Struthio camelus: one gene and its partner. The protein of the gene in region 1 purifies or fractionates together with the protein of each later gene. This does not show direct contact. Links are inferred from orthologs where the notes say so. Each region holds a gene or a part of one and is shown in the gene's direction. Other genes may lie near its edges.

Region 1 (8,923 bases):
TTTACTACTGATGAGCTTCTGTGAGGTGGGTATCATGGACAGGCTTACAAAAGCGCTTCTTTCTGTAACTTCACATTTCACTTTCTTCTTCTTTCGGTGGGAATTCATGTTCAAACCTGAATTTTGTTCTAACTTTCTCCTGCTACTCTGCTGGTCAGATGGCAGCCAGGCAGAGGAGAGGCTGACATCATGCAAAAGCATTTCTGTGTGAGTAGCTGTTAAATTGTTGGGGCTTTCCTTTCTCTGACGTGGGCCTTTCAGTGTCTGTGGAGTCAGCCTGGCTGCCTCCTGGGAACAGAGAGTTGATGAGGCATGTTACTGATGAGACGCACATAATTTTTCCTTCTTGTTTTGAATCCCTCAATTTAATACAAGCCATTGGCATGTATGAGAGCTCTTGGCTACAAAACACGCTTCCTATTGTTGGGAGCAAACAGCCTTGTGTACAGCCTTCAGCAAAAATATGAAGTAGCTCAGTTTTAACTATTGTTGGGAAATCAGTTGATCAAAGACATGATTTTTCTCTCTGATGGTTCACTCCCTCACTCTTATGCAGAAACTGCATTACTTGAGTCTCAGTTTCATAAGGCCCCACACTTTCAAATGTAAGGAATCATCCCTTCCCCTTTCTCTTGTCAAATTAACAAAAATGGGTTTATTTTTCTTTGGCCTTTTAAGGTGGTCCTAGTCATTTGCTTAAGTTTTCTCTACTAACAATAATATGCATATGGGAACCAGGACAAATTTAAGAGGTAATGGCAGTTGTGATCCATACTATTAAGAGCAGCCTTCAGAAAACACTCAACATTTCTGCACTACAGATCAGTATCTAGAAGGAGAGCTGAGAGGGCCTGCAGGAGAGAAAGAAAAGGGAAAGTGTAAATATAGGAGACTATATCACTTCACGTCTGTGGCCTGCTGTTCTCCTCATTCTCCAGTAAGCTTCTGAACGTGTCTCAGGAAGGGATCTAGGCAAGTAGGCACTGCACTCACAGGACATGCTCTGCTCCATGTGTCTGCAATATGCCACAGGTGGGAAAGCCCCATAGTGCAGGGAGAAGCAAAGTGAGTGGAGGCAAGATGCTGAAAACAGGCATATGGACATACAAGACTCCTCCAAGGGAAAGATGTAAAAGAGAAAAATATGATCCAAGGTTCGCAAGCATCATCCCACCAGGAACATCTTGGGAGAACAACAGTTGTCGGTAATGGGTAAGCTGCTGCACAGATAGCTCTGCCTCCCTCTCTCCCCAGTTCCTTCCCCTAATGCTTGTTAGTTTACCTGTTCGTGCATTAAAGGCTCATCATAGCTATTAACTCCCGCCGAGCTCTCCTTAATCACCAACTAAGAACACTGCACAAGTCGCTGATGCCTGTATTCTGAAAAGCCATTACTGGGCCACTAGTAATACTATGACTGTATTAGCTAACTCATTCAGCAACATTATTCTAATCACCTTAGTTTATAATGTGGACCCGAGTCTTGTGGTATACCAAAAGCTGTGTCTCCGACCTAACCCTCTTTTGGGAAGCACAGCATGGAGTCAGCCTCTAGTAGATTTGTCTTCTGGTGTCTGCAAGCCTGGATGCCTTTCTGATACAGTTGTCTTGGTCAAACACAAATGACTGGGCTTGATACAGGGAGGAATGAGGTGAAACGTAGTGGTCTGTGATATACAGAAAATAGCAGCTGCTCTTTGTAGTCCATCCTGGCTTTCTGCTCTGTGGATCTGTTCCCTGCCACGCAGCCCCTGTTGCCCCTTCCCAAAGTGCAAGGAAATGAGAAGGGACTAACCACACTGACTCGTTAAGCCAGGTTTGTTGGAATACAGATTGTCATGTTAAACAAATATATTTTTTTCTAAACAACTAAATATGTTTCTCTGTGCTGTGCCCTATCTTGGCCATTAAATCTGAAAGGGGTAACTACAGATGCGTCAAAGCTAGACTCAGAAGCTGATTTTTCACTACTTTTACTACTACTGTTTGGCAACAACTCAATTTCTAAACATCGTTCTTCCTTCATTTCCCAATGCTGCACTATTTAGATTGCAAGCACTGTAGTGGGATGCATGCTGCCAGACAAAACAGTCTTAGTGACTTAAACCCCACAAATGCATTTTCTAAACCAAGCGCATCTTCTTTATTTCTCATGAGGGCCTCTTCCTTAAGTTACCTGATGACAGAGGATGGAAAGGGCTGTCTATTTGCCTGTCATTAGCCAGTTGGCTTTTAGAAACTCTGCAAGTTTTATCAATCTAATTAAAAGGTTGTGTGAAAATGGACTGGGATAGGTGAGCTCTGTTACATCACACCTGTGGTGAAAGTTTCCAACACGTGCAAGAAAAAAAGCACCTTTTAATGCATGTTTTTTTCAAGGGGAAAAGACAAGTTTGAGTTGATCTAGCATTTCTTCAGATTGTTCCCTTGGTAGTCTGATTAATTCTGAGTGCAGATGTTTATCCCTTCCTTTACAGACTATGCCCAATATTCAAGAGCAGGCTTACTGAGCCGTATTTCCTACCTGCCCCACCATTCTGTTATTGTTAGGGGTGTGCAGCAACATACGCTGAGGCCTTATTACAAGGGATTCCTATAAATGGCATAAAGGATTAATAATGTATTTATAACACAACTTTGTTTTAGTATAAAGTGATCTATAAATTTGTAATAAATGTTTTATAATGTTTTTGTAGCCTGTTATAAATGATAAATGGGAGACTATAGATGCCACATCAAATATTCATGCTGCATTGTGTGCATTATTATGCCGTTACTGTTCAGGAAACCATTAATAATAAAGTGAATGGAGATGTAAAAGTTGCTGACATGCCCAGCAAGCCATTTATAATGAAATGTATAATCCTTACCATAAAGTAAATACATTGGCCAGGGCTTGTTGATGAAATGGAAACACACTGAATTATTTGTAAGGTATTTATATATTAATGTATATTATCCATATCATGTCATACAAATGCTATTAATATATTATATAATATGTATTATTAATTATTTTTACCTAATTTATAGGCAGCTCTTAAAAAGTGTTACCTTGTATCTTCTGCGGTTTTGTCAGCTGAACAAGAGCGTAGCGGGTGAGTTATTTTTTTGTGATGTGGGTGCTGGGGGGTGATTGCATAAATTAACGGTCATTGAGCTTTCCTTAGCCGTGGCTTAAGCCGTCTGGGGCAGATCCAAAACTGATGGGTAACTTGACGAGAGGCCAAAAATAAGCGCCAACTCTTACTGCTGTAGGGGAAGCAGCCCAAATTTGTACGTAATGGGATCGCTGCGCGATTCCCTTTTCTTTGCTCTCTTCCTAGGCCGCGGGAGCGTCTCCCTCCTGCCTCCTTCCGGGCTTTCTGCGGCCTGTGGTGCCGCCGAGCTGCTCCCGCCGGGGCGCCCCGTCCCCCCGTGGCTCCTGCCCGTCAGCCTTCCTCGCCCGCCGGCCTCCGGACAGCTGCCGTTTCCTCCCTCGGGACGCGGCCGCGTGGGCCTGTGACCCACGCGCGTGACCAGAAGCCCTTTTTATTTGCGTTTGAGGTTTTTGTTTGGGTTTGGTTTTTTTTCCACGCTAAGGCAACCTCCGTCGATAGGAAGGGGTGCAGAGGAGCTCCACCACCAGCCCCCCAAGTTGCGTGACATGGTGTTTTCACTCGCCCCGCAGCAACGCTCGGAGCAGAGCGTGCTGTTGCCTCGCCGGGCCCGGAGGGGGGAGCCGGGCCCGCGGACTGTGCGGGCAGCGTGGCGGACGGCGCGGAAAACAAGCTTCGCTTCGGAGATAACAGAAAACATATCTCAACCCCGCCGCCGCCCTGCGAAGGGCGCCGAGGTGCGGGGCCGCCGGCGGGGCTGGGCGGGCCCGAGGGGGGCGGTGGCGGCCGCCGCCTCCGCCCGCCCCTCCGCCCGCCTCCTCCTCCTCCTCCTCCTCCTCCTCCTCCTCCTCCTGGCCGCCGTCGCGCCGGGCCGGCCCGCTCCGCCGCACGCCGGGCAGCCGCTCGCCTCAGCTCGGCTCGGTCGCCGCCGCCGCGGGGCTCTGCGCGGCCCCGCCGAGCCGCCCCGGGCGCGGGCCCCGCCGCCACCTGCCCCTGCCCCTGCCGGGGGGTCCGCGCCATGGCGGCCATCCAGAACCTGCAGCTGTGGTGCAAGCAGCAGTGCGAGGGCTACCGCGATGTCAGCATCACCAACATGACCACCTCCTTCCGCGACGGCCTCGCCTTCTGCGCCATCCTGCACCGCCACCGCCCCGACCTCATGTGAGTACCCGCCGCCTGCCCGGCCCCCCGCTCGGGCTACGGGCCGGGCCGCGGTCGGCGAGGCCAACGGTCCCCGCTTGGCCGAGGCCGGGCGCCCTCCGCTCGCAGCGTCCGCCGAGGCCGAGGGTCCCCACTCGCACCGGCTGGCGAGGCCGAGCAGCCTCCCTGTGCTGCGGGCAGCAAGGCCGCCGGCCCTCGTTTCGCCGCGCTTGGCGAGGCCGAGGGCCCTCGCCGCCCTCAGGTGTGCAGCAGCGAGGGAAGGGGACTGGTCCCGAGTCCTGCCGAGAGGATGCTGCGGTCAGGCAGCGCTCGTGTCAGAGGGGAGCTTTGCTAGCTTGCGAAGCAGGAAGCCTCCAAGGTAATCTTCTTTTTCCCCATTTACAGGCTATCCTTCGCCCCCCTTCTGTTTTTTAAGGAGTTGTGGAAGGCTGCGGCCAAAGGATAAACGTTTAAAGTATGTCCTTGCTTTTGCAAAGCAAGCTCAGGCAGCAGTTGGGAAACGTTTCCTTCTTTGCTGTTTGTGTTTGCTTAGGCTCGGCTTTTGTTGCGGAGCCAAACGGCAGTTCTGTCAGTTTTTAGTTAAGGAATAGATGCTATTTAAACAAAATGCAATAGGAGTGCAGGGAGTTTCCAGGCAGGCTGCTCTGCTAAGTATCTAATAGGAGCTGTTCAGGAGAAAGCTTACGTCTTCCCCGCAGCCCACTCGCTCTTCCATGGGAACAGGGAAAGTGTCCTCTTTTCAGAGGAGCTCTTTGTGAAGGCAGGAGCGTGGTGGCTGCTGGATTCCTACAAACTGGTGTTTTCGCATTCGGAGCCTGGTCTGTGGGAGGCAAAGTGCCTTGCATTCCTTGCTGGCCTCTTTGCTCTTGTCCTATAGACTTTGACCTGCCTCTACCCAAATTTAAAATCTGGATAGGTGTAATGCCAAAGGAAGATATAAATTCTGTTTCCTCGGTTTTTCGCCTGGCCGTTTTCACTTGAAGACGGGGGCGGGGGAATGGGGGGGTTGAAGAGGGAGATCAGTGCAGGGAAGCAGTGCAAAGACTTCCCTACAGTATTGATTTAAGCATTAGATGTCTTCCAGTCAGACGTGGTTGACTAGCAGAGGACAAGGTTGTGTTTTCTGTATTGCAGTTTTCCTCCTGCTCCTTGAATTCTGCCTTTTTTTTCCCTTGGGTTCTCAGGACAGCCTGTCACAGGGAGTTATGTATGGAGATCTCTGTTGCAGGTGTCCCTTCTTGTGGGAACCCAAGAAGGAGACATCCTTTTGCTCTCTTCTCCGTTGTTTTGAAACTTGCAAGAGGCAAGGGCTAGCTTGAACAGTAGGAGACTAGGCAGGAACTTTAGGCGCACTTTCTGTGTTATCTCCTCCTTGCCAATGCTTGGGCAGTCACCATGGTGTTGTTATGTATGGCTTCCTGACGTGTTTTCATTTCCACGTGACTCCAAATGTTTCTTTTCCTTCCTTTGATTCATAGTCTATAAGATATGAAATACTAGGGCAAAAATGTTGATGTGACTGGGAGGTGCTCCTAGAAGGACTGCAGCCACTTCCTGGCCAACTGTGCAGTCAGCCCATCTGGGGACATGGATGTAAACAGGGGCTTAGTGACTTGAGAGCTGGAATAATCCTGCTGCACAAATTAGTAAGTTGTTTATAATCCTTAAATTGTGCACCAGGAGCTGTGGATAGATTTATCTTAAATAAATGCCTCTGTACTCAAGAGGGAAAATGTTCCTAGTGACATCGGTCCTTTCCCGTTGAATTGAAAAAAATTCTGCCTGACTTTATTCAGGACCTTATAGAAGCTCTTTCTGATATAGAGCAGCTCGGTGAAGATGACGTAAAGGTTAAAGTAACAGAGTCTTTTATGTGTAACCTCCTTCATCAATGACAGTAGTGTAAATGCAGTAAAGCACCAGGTGTATATCCTTGGATGGTCAAAGTCCTGCTGGAAGGAAGTCACATATTGAAGTGGTTGGTGGACAAGGCTGCAGGGTGTCACGTGTACCTTGGCTCCTGGGGCTGGATACTTGTGCAAATTCTCTGTGAATCTTCAAAAGCCGCTCTGAGTTTACGGCACAGGAGCCACTAGCAGGGAAGCGTGGCTGGGTGTGCATGTGGCTGCGCCTCTGACTTCCCTGGGGACTTGAAATGCTTTATCCTGAGCTCCAGAAGCTTGCTTCTAGCAAAGATCCTAGTTGGATGTTAAAAGCATCATACTGAAAGTAAAGCTAGAATAGGATAACTGGTGTTTGGAGAGCTCGGTGTGTTTGGAGCAGCCCTTATATGTAAATCACTTACAGAACGCAATTCAGTCACGGCATCAGAGTTTTGCAATAATGTGTTTTCTGTCTTGGTTTGTGTAAACGACATTCTTGGGCTGAGGACTGAACAGTACGGAGAGGGGATTTCTTGTTCGAGGAGGCTGGAGACATTCACAAGAAAATTTCAGGCAATTCAAAACAAGTTAATAATGTGCTTCTCTTGCGGGGTTGAGAATACATGGGTCAGAGTATAGACTGGCATATATCTCTTCCCCCTTCCTGTTTTCCTGCCAGAAAACACGTGGAGAATATGATAGCTTCTTTCAAACTTGGGTTATGTCAGTCTGTATGTTATCGGTGAATAGGGCAGGCTGTGTGAAATCAGAAATGCACTTCCCACGCACTTCCCACTCACCCGAGAATTCGCAGACAGACTGGGCTCTGTTGGAGTAGAAACACGCAACTGAATTGCCATGGAAATTCACTTCTCTTTCATCCCAGCTGAAGAGTATTTCATACCCAGCCCCAGACAGGTGCGCATGCTGCATCAGGCAGGTCTCAGTCCGTTTGCTGGGCTGATTACAGAGCACTGAAGTTCCTCTCGTCAGAGGAATATGGAACTTCTTAGCTGTATGAAGTGGGACTCTGAAACGTGGGCTCTGTTTTGTGGCTGCTGTGTGTGATGGTGTTGGCTGTGCGAGCTCTGACCAGAGGTTTTAGTGGTCTGAGTGTGATAAGTGAATTAGAAGAAGTAGAGGAGCCATGGTCTCCTGCTCACTCGGTCTGAAATAAATGCCAGATGTTGAGGAAAGGTTTTGATTAAGCTCCTTGTCTTCATCCTGGATCTTGCTCTTTCCCGGCTCGTTAACTGGTATTTAACTCAGCGTTCTGGGAATTGCCTGGTTGTGAAATCCCCCTTGGCGGCTGTGTGCTCAGGCGCGTTTGGTGGCTGGAGCCGAGCAGCTGCCTCCAGCGATGTTGTTTCCTGGGTCATTGTCAGCTCAGCCAGGGAGGAGGAGGCCACGAGCCTCCAAAAAAGACAGAAAGGGGGACGAGCACCAGGTGACCCAGCCACTGCTGACCCTAGGCTTGGGGTGCTTGCCTCGGCTGTGCTGAAGGCAGGTTGCCCACGGTCTCCGTCTCCTCAGCAAAGGGCTGGAGCGAAGCAGAGCTGCTACCTGCTTGGCTTCCTCCAGGTTGTGTTTCCTACGACAGGCGTAGGTAAGGGGAGGATGGTTCTGGAATAAGGGAGACTCATCCTTTCATAGTCACCCCCAGCAGCATGTCAGCCCTCCAGTGAGATCAGAGAAGCTGTGAAGCAGGGGTCACTGAGAGGAAGAAGAGAGCAAGGGGGGCATCTTCCACTTAGGATTCCCAGCCCTGTCACCTCTCTCCAGGTTGTTGTACCTTCGGTAAGCAAGCTGCTGAAAGGTCCTGTTCTCAGAAGAGCAGACGGGATTGAACCCTCAGTTCAAGGACTGCGTGCAGACAAAGGATGCTTTTCTGTTTTTCAGTCATCCTTCTGACAGCAGATATCTTACAAAAATGGTATGGAGGTGCCTAGAGGCAGTGAGGTTCTGCGGGACCTGCTTTGCCTACGCTAGCCTCTGGGCCATTTTCTGTTCAGTCTGCTCCAAGGTAGCATTTCCCACAGAGTTAGTGCTTGCAGCAGCAGCAGAAGTCCCTCCCAGGGAAGCATGCGCGCTTGGGAAGGACTGTGGCATGCTATGCAAACTCTGGGTCTGTGCAGCCAGAGCAGGGGTGGGTCACAGAGATTTCTGGGCATGGGAATTGCTCAGCCACTCTTTTACTAGAGAAGAACTTTGGGAGCTAAAAACTTCTTTTCCTGCACTATTGAACTCCATTCTGATTTGTTTCCAACACTGGAGGCCCTCTCTTGGGTCAGATTTATGTTTCTCACCTCTTCCAATTAATTCAGTTGCCCATGTTTTCTCAGTGGAAAACTCCTGCTTCTCCATTTGTATTAACTTTTCTTTCTTAGGATTACATTGCAGAGAGTATTTGATATTCCAGGATAGGAGATGCGCTGGCAAGATCAATTTCCTAAAGAAGTATTTTTATGTAAGCTGATCACCTGACTAGCTAGGGACGGAGTGATGCTGGGAGGGCAGGAGGCTCTTTAAACGACCAAGTAACCTGGCTGTTTGCACCCTCCTTTAGGGGCAGGAGGAGATTTCAAACAGTCACCGTCAGAGTTTTAGGCTTTTAGGTCTCTGTTCCATGCCACACAGCTGTGAAGCTGAATACATGCTACTGTAGCAAACGGCATTCAGTAGTGCAAGAGTGAAAGGCACGGATGGAGAGTAAATAGGTAGGTTCAGTATTATTTGAGAGTCTGGCACCGATTGCTTTCACGCTTACCCTGCTTCTGCGTT
Region 2 (8,923 bases), on another chromosome or scaffold:
ATGTTTCCTTTTTCTGGGTGTGGGGGTAGGGACCTTAAGGGAAAAATGGTGAATATAAATTAAATGAATTTTCCTGTATTCCTATTAGCCTTGCAGAACACGATAGTTTGGATTGGTCCTAATGGGGTCACTTTTCAGTTACCAATACTGGAGTCCCCTTTAGGACCTTTGAGATAAAGTGATAAAAAGCTTCTGTGTTAAACATATTTGTTTTGACTTCTGCAGAGGAATGAAGGTTATTGAGAACAGAGCAATGAAAGACGAAGAAAAAATGGAGATTCAGGAGATGCAACTGAAGGAGGCTAAGCATATTGCTGAAGAAGCTGACCGCAAATATGAAGAGGTGAAAGGGATGCTTTAATAAGGAAATGATAAAACATATGAGAGAACTATGAACAACTTTGTTACTGTTCAGTTTAGTTCTTCTTTTTATACTTTCTACTATGTGATGGTTTGACTTTGCAATATTTCCAAAAGGTGTAATTCTAATAGTGACTATAGCACTTGCGTATTTACATATTTAATCTTACGTATTTAATAGGTATTTAAAGTTCTTTTGGGAAAAAGTCCCTGTCTTGTATGTGCAGAGCTGTATATTTTATTCTAGTTTACATCAGTCAGAAGGCAAGCATAGGCATAGCGCTTTGAGGGAGACATAACAAGTTATCAGTTGGCTTGATATAGTTATTTTCTCTTTACAGGTTGCTCGTAAACTGGTTATTTTGGAAGGTGAACTGGAAAGAGCTGAAGAGCGTGCAGAAGTGTCAGAAGTGTGAGTAGTTTCGCATACATGGGTGTAGTTTAGAGTACAATAAAGTTCTCCTTACTATGTGAGGATTGTTTTCATAACACAAATATCCATGGTATTTTTCAGGGGTTTCGCTTGTTTAACAGTATCAGTACAGTGTCCAACCATTTAGTAGTTTCATTTCAAAGGCTGCCAGCATTATGGAGAAACATAATGGCCCATTTGGATCTTTTTCATGAAAAATGTTGAGGGGGAAGTTGCTAATACTTCAGCTTCAAGAGTAACTTTCCTTACTTGTAGGTTTATTAAACATGCTCTTCTAACATTAGCATCGGGTCTCCTACAGTGTCCAAGGTGGTACAAAACAGAATGGCTCTTGTACCGAAAGTCAGCTGCAGTGCAGTGCAAGCCTATACGTTTCTTACTGTTTTAAGACATTTCTTAACACAGAGGAGTGTGCAACACTGAGCTTTAAAAGTGTCATTTATTCTTCGACAATGTAAGGTTAAAGTTGTATTTCATTAGGCAGATCTACTGCTAAAAGGCAGCCATGTAGGATACTTGGAAAAGCTTTTGGTGTCCCATAAACAAACTCACTGCTTTTAGACTTATTTACTTAATAACCTGTATTTTTAGACCTTTTGAAAATTAAACAAAGTCATAACAGTGACAGTGGTAACTTGTACTTTTTTTTTCCCCCGTAGTAAATGTAGTGACCTTGAAGAGGAATTAAAGAATGTCACTAACAACCTGAAGTCCCTGGAAGCCCAATCTGAAAAGGTTGCTTCTTTCAGTGAGCTAAGGGATGGTGGGGGGAAGTCAAAACTTGTCATTAAAATTCACAGAAATAATCCAGAAGTACAAAAAAATTTAAGGGTTTAGTTTGACCGCTTGTGTAACAGCGAGTATTGATAACGTTGTATCAGTTCTGCCCAAAACCAAAATACTCAGTAATCTGGTAATTATCTGCAATATTGCTTCCTGCAAATCAGGATTTGACTCTGTTTCCCACATTACTAGGCAGCTGACTGTTCTTGATTTTGTTATCTTGTTAAGAATCTTGTATTGGTTGCTTGCCTTCTTAATAAGGCAAATTGCTAAAACTCCTGCTTTCATTAAACAGTTGTTTCCAGCTAGCCCTAATTGGTATAGAAAAGTTGATGATTTCTTGCACATTCAGCTATTTTTGTGCTGCCTAATAAAGTAAGCCTGTTAAGGACTAAAATAGATACGTAAAGGAACTTTGGACAGCCTCAGTCTTAAAACGATGGTATATGAATCAGTTTGAGAAGTCTTGGTGAAGAGGAGAAAAATATGGGAAGGGTGTTTGCAGCTATCATAAACGGAAAAGTGGTTATTAATAGGTCAGGTTTTTCATAAACATTATTGCTGCTACAACTTCCCTTAAAGAGCGTGTTTATTGTTTTCACAGTACTCGGAAAAAGAAGATAAATACGAAGAAGAAATCAAGCTTCTGTCTGACAAGCTTAAAGAAGTAAGATTATCCATCCCCAAACTGTGCTTTGGCAGCCTTTTTTTAACAGCATCCATTTATTCTATTTATTTATTTGTTTGTTTGTTAGGCTGAAACACGTGCTGAATTTGCGGAGAGAACAGTTGCAAAACTGGAAAAGTCTATTGATGACCTGGAAGGTATGAAATTACTGATCATGATTTTACAGGTCTTCATTTTAGCTCAGAAAGCAACATTCTAGGAATAAGTATTATATTTTATTGGGAAAGGACAAAAATATTAATCAGATGTATAGCCAGAGCAGCGTGAGACAATTGGTGATCCGTATGTCTGTCCAGCCGGGTACTTCCTGCCCAGAGGGAATTTTCCTGAAAGAGGTTCTCTTCAAAAGTTGCTACCAATAACCTGCCTTTAGCCAACTCACAAATGTGTGTGCTCAAAGGGGCCTTTCTACTTAACAAGAATCATAATCTCATTTAATCTGATGCCTGAAAAACAATTCTTGGCAGAGGGGGGGAAATGTAGATGAAGCTTCTGACCTGGCAGCTGTGTATATTTTTTTTGCTTTCACACTAATGTTTGACTACATATCTGTTTTCTTCTTCTACTTCCCCCCTCAATTACTTGGTTCGCTGCATTCTGGCTGTCTTCGCATCTTCTGCTATACGCCTCTTCCTCTGGACTGCTTTTCTGCATCTCTTGCTGCAACTTGCCTTCTGCCTTCGTGCCTGATAGATGAGCTGTACGCTCAGAAGCTGAAGTACAAAGCTATCAGTGAGGAGCTCGATCATGCTCTCAATGATATGACCTCTCTGTAATTTGCACCTACTGGGGGGCTTTGACTCGCTGCATTTCTTAAGCTCTTCTTGCCTGTAAGACCTGTCGCTTCTGTGCAACTTCTAAGTGCGATCCTTCAGCCTTCTCTGTAAGATCTGATTTCAATAAAAACGAGTTACCTCTACCTTTAAGCTTTCTGGGTTTTTTTCCTCATGATTCACGTAAAATACATCAGTAATGACACTGAAAGTACATTTAGCTGCTCATGCCAGGGCCAGGCCCCCACAGTCAGCACAGGCGGGACAGTGACCGTGGTGCAGGACCAGCCATGGGAGCAACAGGCCACGCGCACCCTGCGCAGCGCTGAAGAGCTTGGTCAGTCTCGGCACCCCTGATGGCCGGGACAGAACCTGGTGGCCTGGCAAAGGCCTCAGTTTTCGTATTCCCAAAGATGAAAAAGCTTTGAGCTAGCTCTCACTTTGCGTGTTGTTTCACCTGCCTGGTTTAAAATTCTCAGAACGATGGAAACTCTGAAGGACATGTCCTGTACATCGCGTGTTAAACTAAAATACAAGTCTGTCGCATTACATATCAGACCCATCCAGAAACCCTTTAAACGAGAGCCATTACAAAAATAATTATCAGTCCCAAATTTCTTTGATGCAATTATAGTGTTCTCTTAAAAGTAAAGGTGAGTAATGAGGTTATTTATTGAAAGAGAAAAGGCAGTAAAATGTGTGTTTAAAGTCTTGTTTTCTCTCCTTTCTCCCTAGAAAAACTTGCTCAGGCAAAAGAAGAGAATTTGGGGTTGCATCAGACACTGGATCAGACGTTAAATGAACTAAACTGTATATGAAATTGAGAAGAACGCTCAGCCGCCAACAGAAACTTAAACATGTATCTGTATTTACCGTTTCATTCCTCTCTTTCTCTGTATCTTAGAAAAAAAAAAAGAAAATTAAGTTATGAGCAGTGCCCAAAGCGTTCAGGTCAGCGCCCTGGGCGTACCGCGGCCGCAGCCGCGCCGCTGTAGGGCCGGGGCGGCGGAGACCCAGCTCTGTATTTATTAAACTGCAGCATGCAGGAAGGCGAGCGACGAGCCCGCGCGCGACCCTCCTGCCCCGTCTCCGCCGGCTCGGCGCTGGCCCCGCCGCTTTTTTATGTGGATCAGTGTAGGTGGTATCCCAGCAGTATTACCCGCGAACGCGACTGTTCCTGACGTTTTCATATTAAACAGCTTCACCCCGACCCGCCGTGTCCCCTGCTCTGTCCGTAGCGCCGTCGCGCTTCCCCGCGCGCGCAGCGGCTGGGCGTGATGTCAGCAAAACGTCATACCGCCACCTAGCCGCACGCGACTTCCGTCCGCCGCCGGAAGTGGCGTCTCGCCGGGCACGGGCGGCGAGGCGAGCGGCCAATGGCGCGGCCGGTTACACACGGAGCGCGGCTCGCCGGCCAATGGGGCGCCGGCTCCGTTCTCTTCCTGCTCGGCGGCCGGGGAGGCGGGCCCTGCGGCGACGCGCCGCTGGGCTCGGCCAATGGGCGCGCGGCGGGCGGTGATGGCCGGCGGGCTCGGCCTGTGAGGCGCGCGGGGGCGGGGGTCGCCGGAGGGGCGGCGCCGGGAAGATGGCGAAGACGTACGACTACCTGTTCAAGCTGCTGCTCATCGGCGACTCGGGCGTGGGCAAGACCTGCGCGCTCTTCCGCTTCTCCGAGGATGCCTTCAACGCCACCTTCATCTCCACCATCGGTGCGCGCCGGGCCGGGGCCGGGGCCGGGGCCGGTCGCCGCTGCTTCAGCGCTGCCCCGTGCCGGCGGCTCGCGCGCTGGGGGGCTGCGCGGCGGCGGCGGCGGCGGGGAGGGCGGTTTCGCTGCCGCCTCGGGCGGCTTTAGCGGCTCGGCGCGCAGCGCCTCGTTCAGCGGTTGCGGTGGAGCTCGGTTGCGCCGGCCTTGCCTCGGCGCCGGTTGCGAACGTGCCTCACTGTTCGTTCGCTCCCCCCGGCCCTGCGGGGATCCGGGCAGGCGCTTTGCTTGTGGCTGCTGCGGCTCAGATCGCTCTCCTTCGCTCTGCAGAGGCCGTTGTCTAGCGTGAGCGACTGTAAAACCTCGCGCTTTGCTTCGTTAGCTACCTGGAAGGGTGTTCTGCCAGTGCAAACCTCACCAGGGAAACGAGAGGGGAAAAGTTAGCTTGGTCTTCAGCAGAAACTAAGAGTAACTTAGTTACTTCTCTTTTCAGGTATTGATTTTAAAATTAGAACTATAGAGCTAGACGGCAAGCGAATTAAACTACAGATATGGTAAGCCTTTTCTTCTAACGTTACATGAATTAATTTCTTATAACCCGGCATCAGTATGGTGTGGAGTAGTGATATTATCATTACGTTTTCAATCTAGTTGTGCTCTTCAGTAGCTTACAGTATCTTAGAAACCACAACTGTTGTTTCAGTGCTTCTAAAAACTGATTAAAAATATTTAATTAAAGTTTCTGAAAGCTCTAATTTCAGCGCAATAGCTTCGCTGGGTTGCATGAGCCCCTGTGTTCTGGTCTGTTTCAGGGACACGGCTGGGCAGGAGCGATTCCGAACCATCACGACAGCGTACTACCGGGGAGCAATGGTAGGAGCGGGGCAGGTCACGCTGAGCGTTCAACAGACACCTTAGTTTTCAACATCAAACCAGCTGTGTTTTAATGGGGAGCGTATGTAACCGCCTGTGTTTCAGCATATGAACTCTAGCTGGGTAAACACTTGACAACTTGCACTCCTGTTCCTCAGCGCTAATGGTGTTGAAGCTGTACTGAGACAATGTGGGGACCTACAAAGTCAGATTTCCATTGTGACTCACTGTATAAATATACATTTAGTACACCTTATCTAATAAGACACAAATTGTGATTAAATGTTATGTGTAACTTGGAACTATTTCTTTTTAAATAGTCTTTGTTAAGTTTCTTTGTCATGGAAAAGTCTTTAACTTTTGCTTAAACTGGCACTAGCTGAAATAAGGTGTTTTGTTTTTATCTTTAGGGCATTATGCTAGTCTATGACATCACCAATGAAAAATCTTTTGAAAATATTCGGAACTGGGTCAGGAATATTGAAGAGGTAATTTCTGTTTATTGACTCAGTATTAAAAATGCTATCCCCATTCTAGAAGTAGTTAAAAGTTAAATGCTTCAGCATTGTTATGTTTCTTTCTAATTTATGTACTGTAGAGTAAATGTGGAAAACATATTGCAAGAAAATTGGTAATATCTTTTAGAATGTCTCGGTTCATAGTAATTCATTGCACGTGAGAGCACGTTGTATGGACTGTAGCCTTTCTAGCGATTGAGAGATGTTTTCCTGCCACCGCAAGTGACCTAAAGAGCTGCCTTTATGCAGGCAGGCCCTGAGCTGTGAGTGTCTGAAGAAAACTGTTGGGATGGGGTGTTTGGGGGAAACTCTTAAATCTATGGAAAATTCTTTGCATCAGCACCTTTGTTTTCAGTACTTGATGTATGCTTCACCTTTCTGATGTTTTTTTGTAGACAAATACTAAGCTGAAGTACTTTCTTTTGTCTGTTTCTATGTCAGCATGCCTCCCCAGATGTTGAAAAAATGATTCTTGGAAATAAGTGTGATGCAAATGACAAAAGACAAGTCTCTAGAGAGCAAGGGGAGAAGGTAAGTGCCATCGCCTGGCTTCATCCTGTCTCTGCCCAGGGGCTGAAGTCAGTGCTTGGAACTGAATACTTCCTAAATCCCTCAGTCTCTTTAAAGCCCGTAAAGTTCCTTACTTACTGCCAAGACGGTTGCCAAGTGTGGCTCGTGTGTCTGACTTGCTGCTTTTGTGGCAGGAGTCTATGTTATAGCTGCCTTAGGAGGACTAAAGTGCTAATTTTGAAGTTCCAGCCAGTAAGATTGATCTACCACTTCTGAAAGCTCACTAAAGTATGATGGTGTTCCTTCTTGGATTTAATCTTTATCCTTGTTATTTTGGTCTCAGCAGTGAAATCTTCTGTACGAATGTTAAAATAGTTTTTATTCCTTTTGATGTATGTGTGCCTCAGCTGGAAAAAACTGTAGGCTCAGTCTGTTATTCTGCTGGTAGAAAACCTGTTCTTCCAGTGAAGAAAATGGTTCAGAGTTAGTGGTTATTGATTTCTATACCTAACAAAATAATGTGCACTACCTGTGAAGTGTTATTGGCTTCTGTGATCTCTTATGAATGCCACAGTCGTAAATGAAGCTTACAAAAAAAAGTTGAGATCATAAATTAGAGCCCCTTGCTCTAATTGTAAGCGTTCAGTGTTGTGCTCTTAATCGTTAAAGAAAAAAAAAAATCTTCATTTCAAAAGTTGAAAATCCAAAAACCTCTGGAGTGTTTTATAAAATTGCAGTTTGCTGATGTTTGGGACCGTTTAGGAATGGTTAACTTGGCTATAGAATAACATACTCTTAACATTATAAACAGCTGTATTACCATGTTTAGTAACAGAGGCTAAAGTCAGACTTCCACTTCCAAAGCGGCAATTGTCATTTTCTATAAGGTGCTTGAGAACTGATACACTGAATATGCCACCGCCACCAGCCCCAGAAACCTCACTGCTTTAATTTATTTCAAATTAGACTTTTCAAAATGTAAACATTGTATTCATTGTTGTCTATATGTTGCCCTGTTTCTTCCAGGGTATTTCTCAGTGGAACTATTTAACGTTTCCCAAGCTGTAGTTGCAATATGTTTCCCTATTCTGATGAAAAGATGAGTCTGTGTTAAGAATTCTTGTTTGTTGACTGTCTGGTCAGGGTTTGTTAGATGCAGAGCAGGAAAACTGAATTTATTCTTAGTAAAAGGAAGGAAAAGCATGCAAAAGGCTAGCATTTAGGAATGTCCCTTTTTGATGAAAGCCAGTGAGGCAAAAGAGATAGGATTGTCTTTTCTGGCTTCAATTGTTAATTAGTCAAGGTAAAGAATGTACTTCTGTGCACTGCAGGTATTACAAGTCTCACAAGATACCTATGCAAAAAAATAAAATATAAGGAACAAAGGAGCCAATTAAAATGTATGCAGAATGTAAAACAGAAGAACAAAAACCAGTGAGAATAGATACCGAGAGGAATCAGATTCAGTTCCTGATTTTTGCAAATTGTTCTGCTTGAGTAGATCCCCAATTCCTATGAATCACTCTAGGAGGGGTAGATCCTGCACCATTGGTTATATTTATAGCTGTTCCTGCAATTATCCAACTAACACGAACCTGCTTTTGTTCAGCTTGCCGCAAGTTTTGGAATTAAATTTATGGAGACCAGTGCAAAAGCAAATATAAACATAGAGAATGTAAGTATGCAACCCTTCCCTTCTACTTACTGTCTTAGTACAAAAAGAAGCAATAAGAGCACTTACCCGTGCTGACTGGATGCAAAACTCAATTGTTAGATATTTCAGATGGGTTGTTAAATACATATCTTTGCCTCCTGTGAATGCATGGTCTAACCAATGTTATTCTAAATGACTGAAATTGAACTTGGTGCGTAAAGTGTAATGCAGAGGCATTACAGCAAACTGCTTTAGAATAGCATGCTGAAAAGATTGGTTTATGTCTCTGCATGTATTCGATAGTGCCACTTAGAAAGGGCATCATTTTGCCACTATATAAAACCTGGATGTGCCCACATCGTGGGTACTGTGTCCTATTACAGTTTTCAGCCTCAAAAAGGCAGTAGTGGATTTAGAAAAGGTTCAAAGACAGAGGAAGGAGCATTAAAACCTCGAGAAAGGAATACTGAGAATCTGACGTTCTTCACGAGTTTCGTATGTGCAGAAGCACAGGAAGGCAGCTTATTACTAAACAAAAACGTTGGGATATGTTTTCTTCGTCTTGTAACTTTTAACTGTTGTACTTACTATAGGCATTTTTCACTCTTGCAAGAGATATCAAAGCAAAA

What was found.
Region 2: the proteins of MICALL2 (region 1) and RAB8A purify together in Homo sapiens (co-immunoprecipitation; 3 studies listed by BioGRID and IntAct, with this or other methods). This does not show direct contact. The link is inferred for Struthio camelus from reciprocal best matches to the Homo sapiens genes MICALL2 and RAB8A.

The regions. Positions count from the first base shown.
Region 1 is NC_090956.1:6,919,946-6,928,868, forward strand, and holds the start of MICALL2 (MICAL-like protein 2), read left to right. Parts: upstream 1-3,992; 5' UTR 3,993-4,116; coding exon 4,117-4,259; intron 4,260-8,923. UniProt on the Homo sapiens protein: Effector of small Rab GTPases which is involved in junctional complexes assembly through the regulation of cell adhesion molecules transport to the plasma membrane and actin cytoskeleton reorganization.
Region 2 is NC_090967.1:5,168,080-5,177,002, forward strand, and holds the start of RAB8A (ras-related protein Rab-8A), read left to right. Parts: upstream 1-4,542; 5' UTR 4,543-4,622; coding exon 4,623-4,746; intron 4,747-5,232; coding exon 5,233-5,293; intron 5,294-5,551; coding exon 5,552-5,612; intron 5,613-6,022; coding exon 6,023-6,100; intron 6,101-6,571; coding exon 6,572-6,661; intron 6,662-8,249; coding exon 8,250-8,315; intron 8,316-8,887; coding exon 8,888-8,923. Other genes in the region: TPM4 (tropomyosin alpha-4 chain), read left to right, coding at 226-343, 702-772, 1,453-1,528, 2,181-2,243, 2,332-2,401, 3,773-3,855. UniProt on the Homo sapiens protein: The small GTPases Rab are key regulators of intracellular membrane trafficking, from the formation of transport vesicles to their fusion with membranes.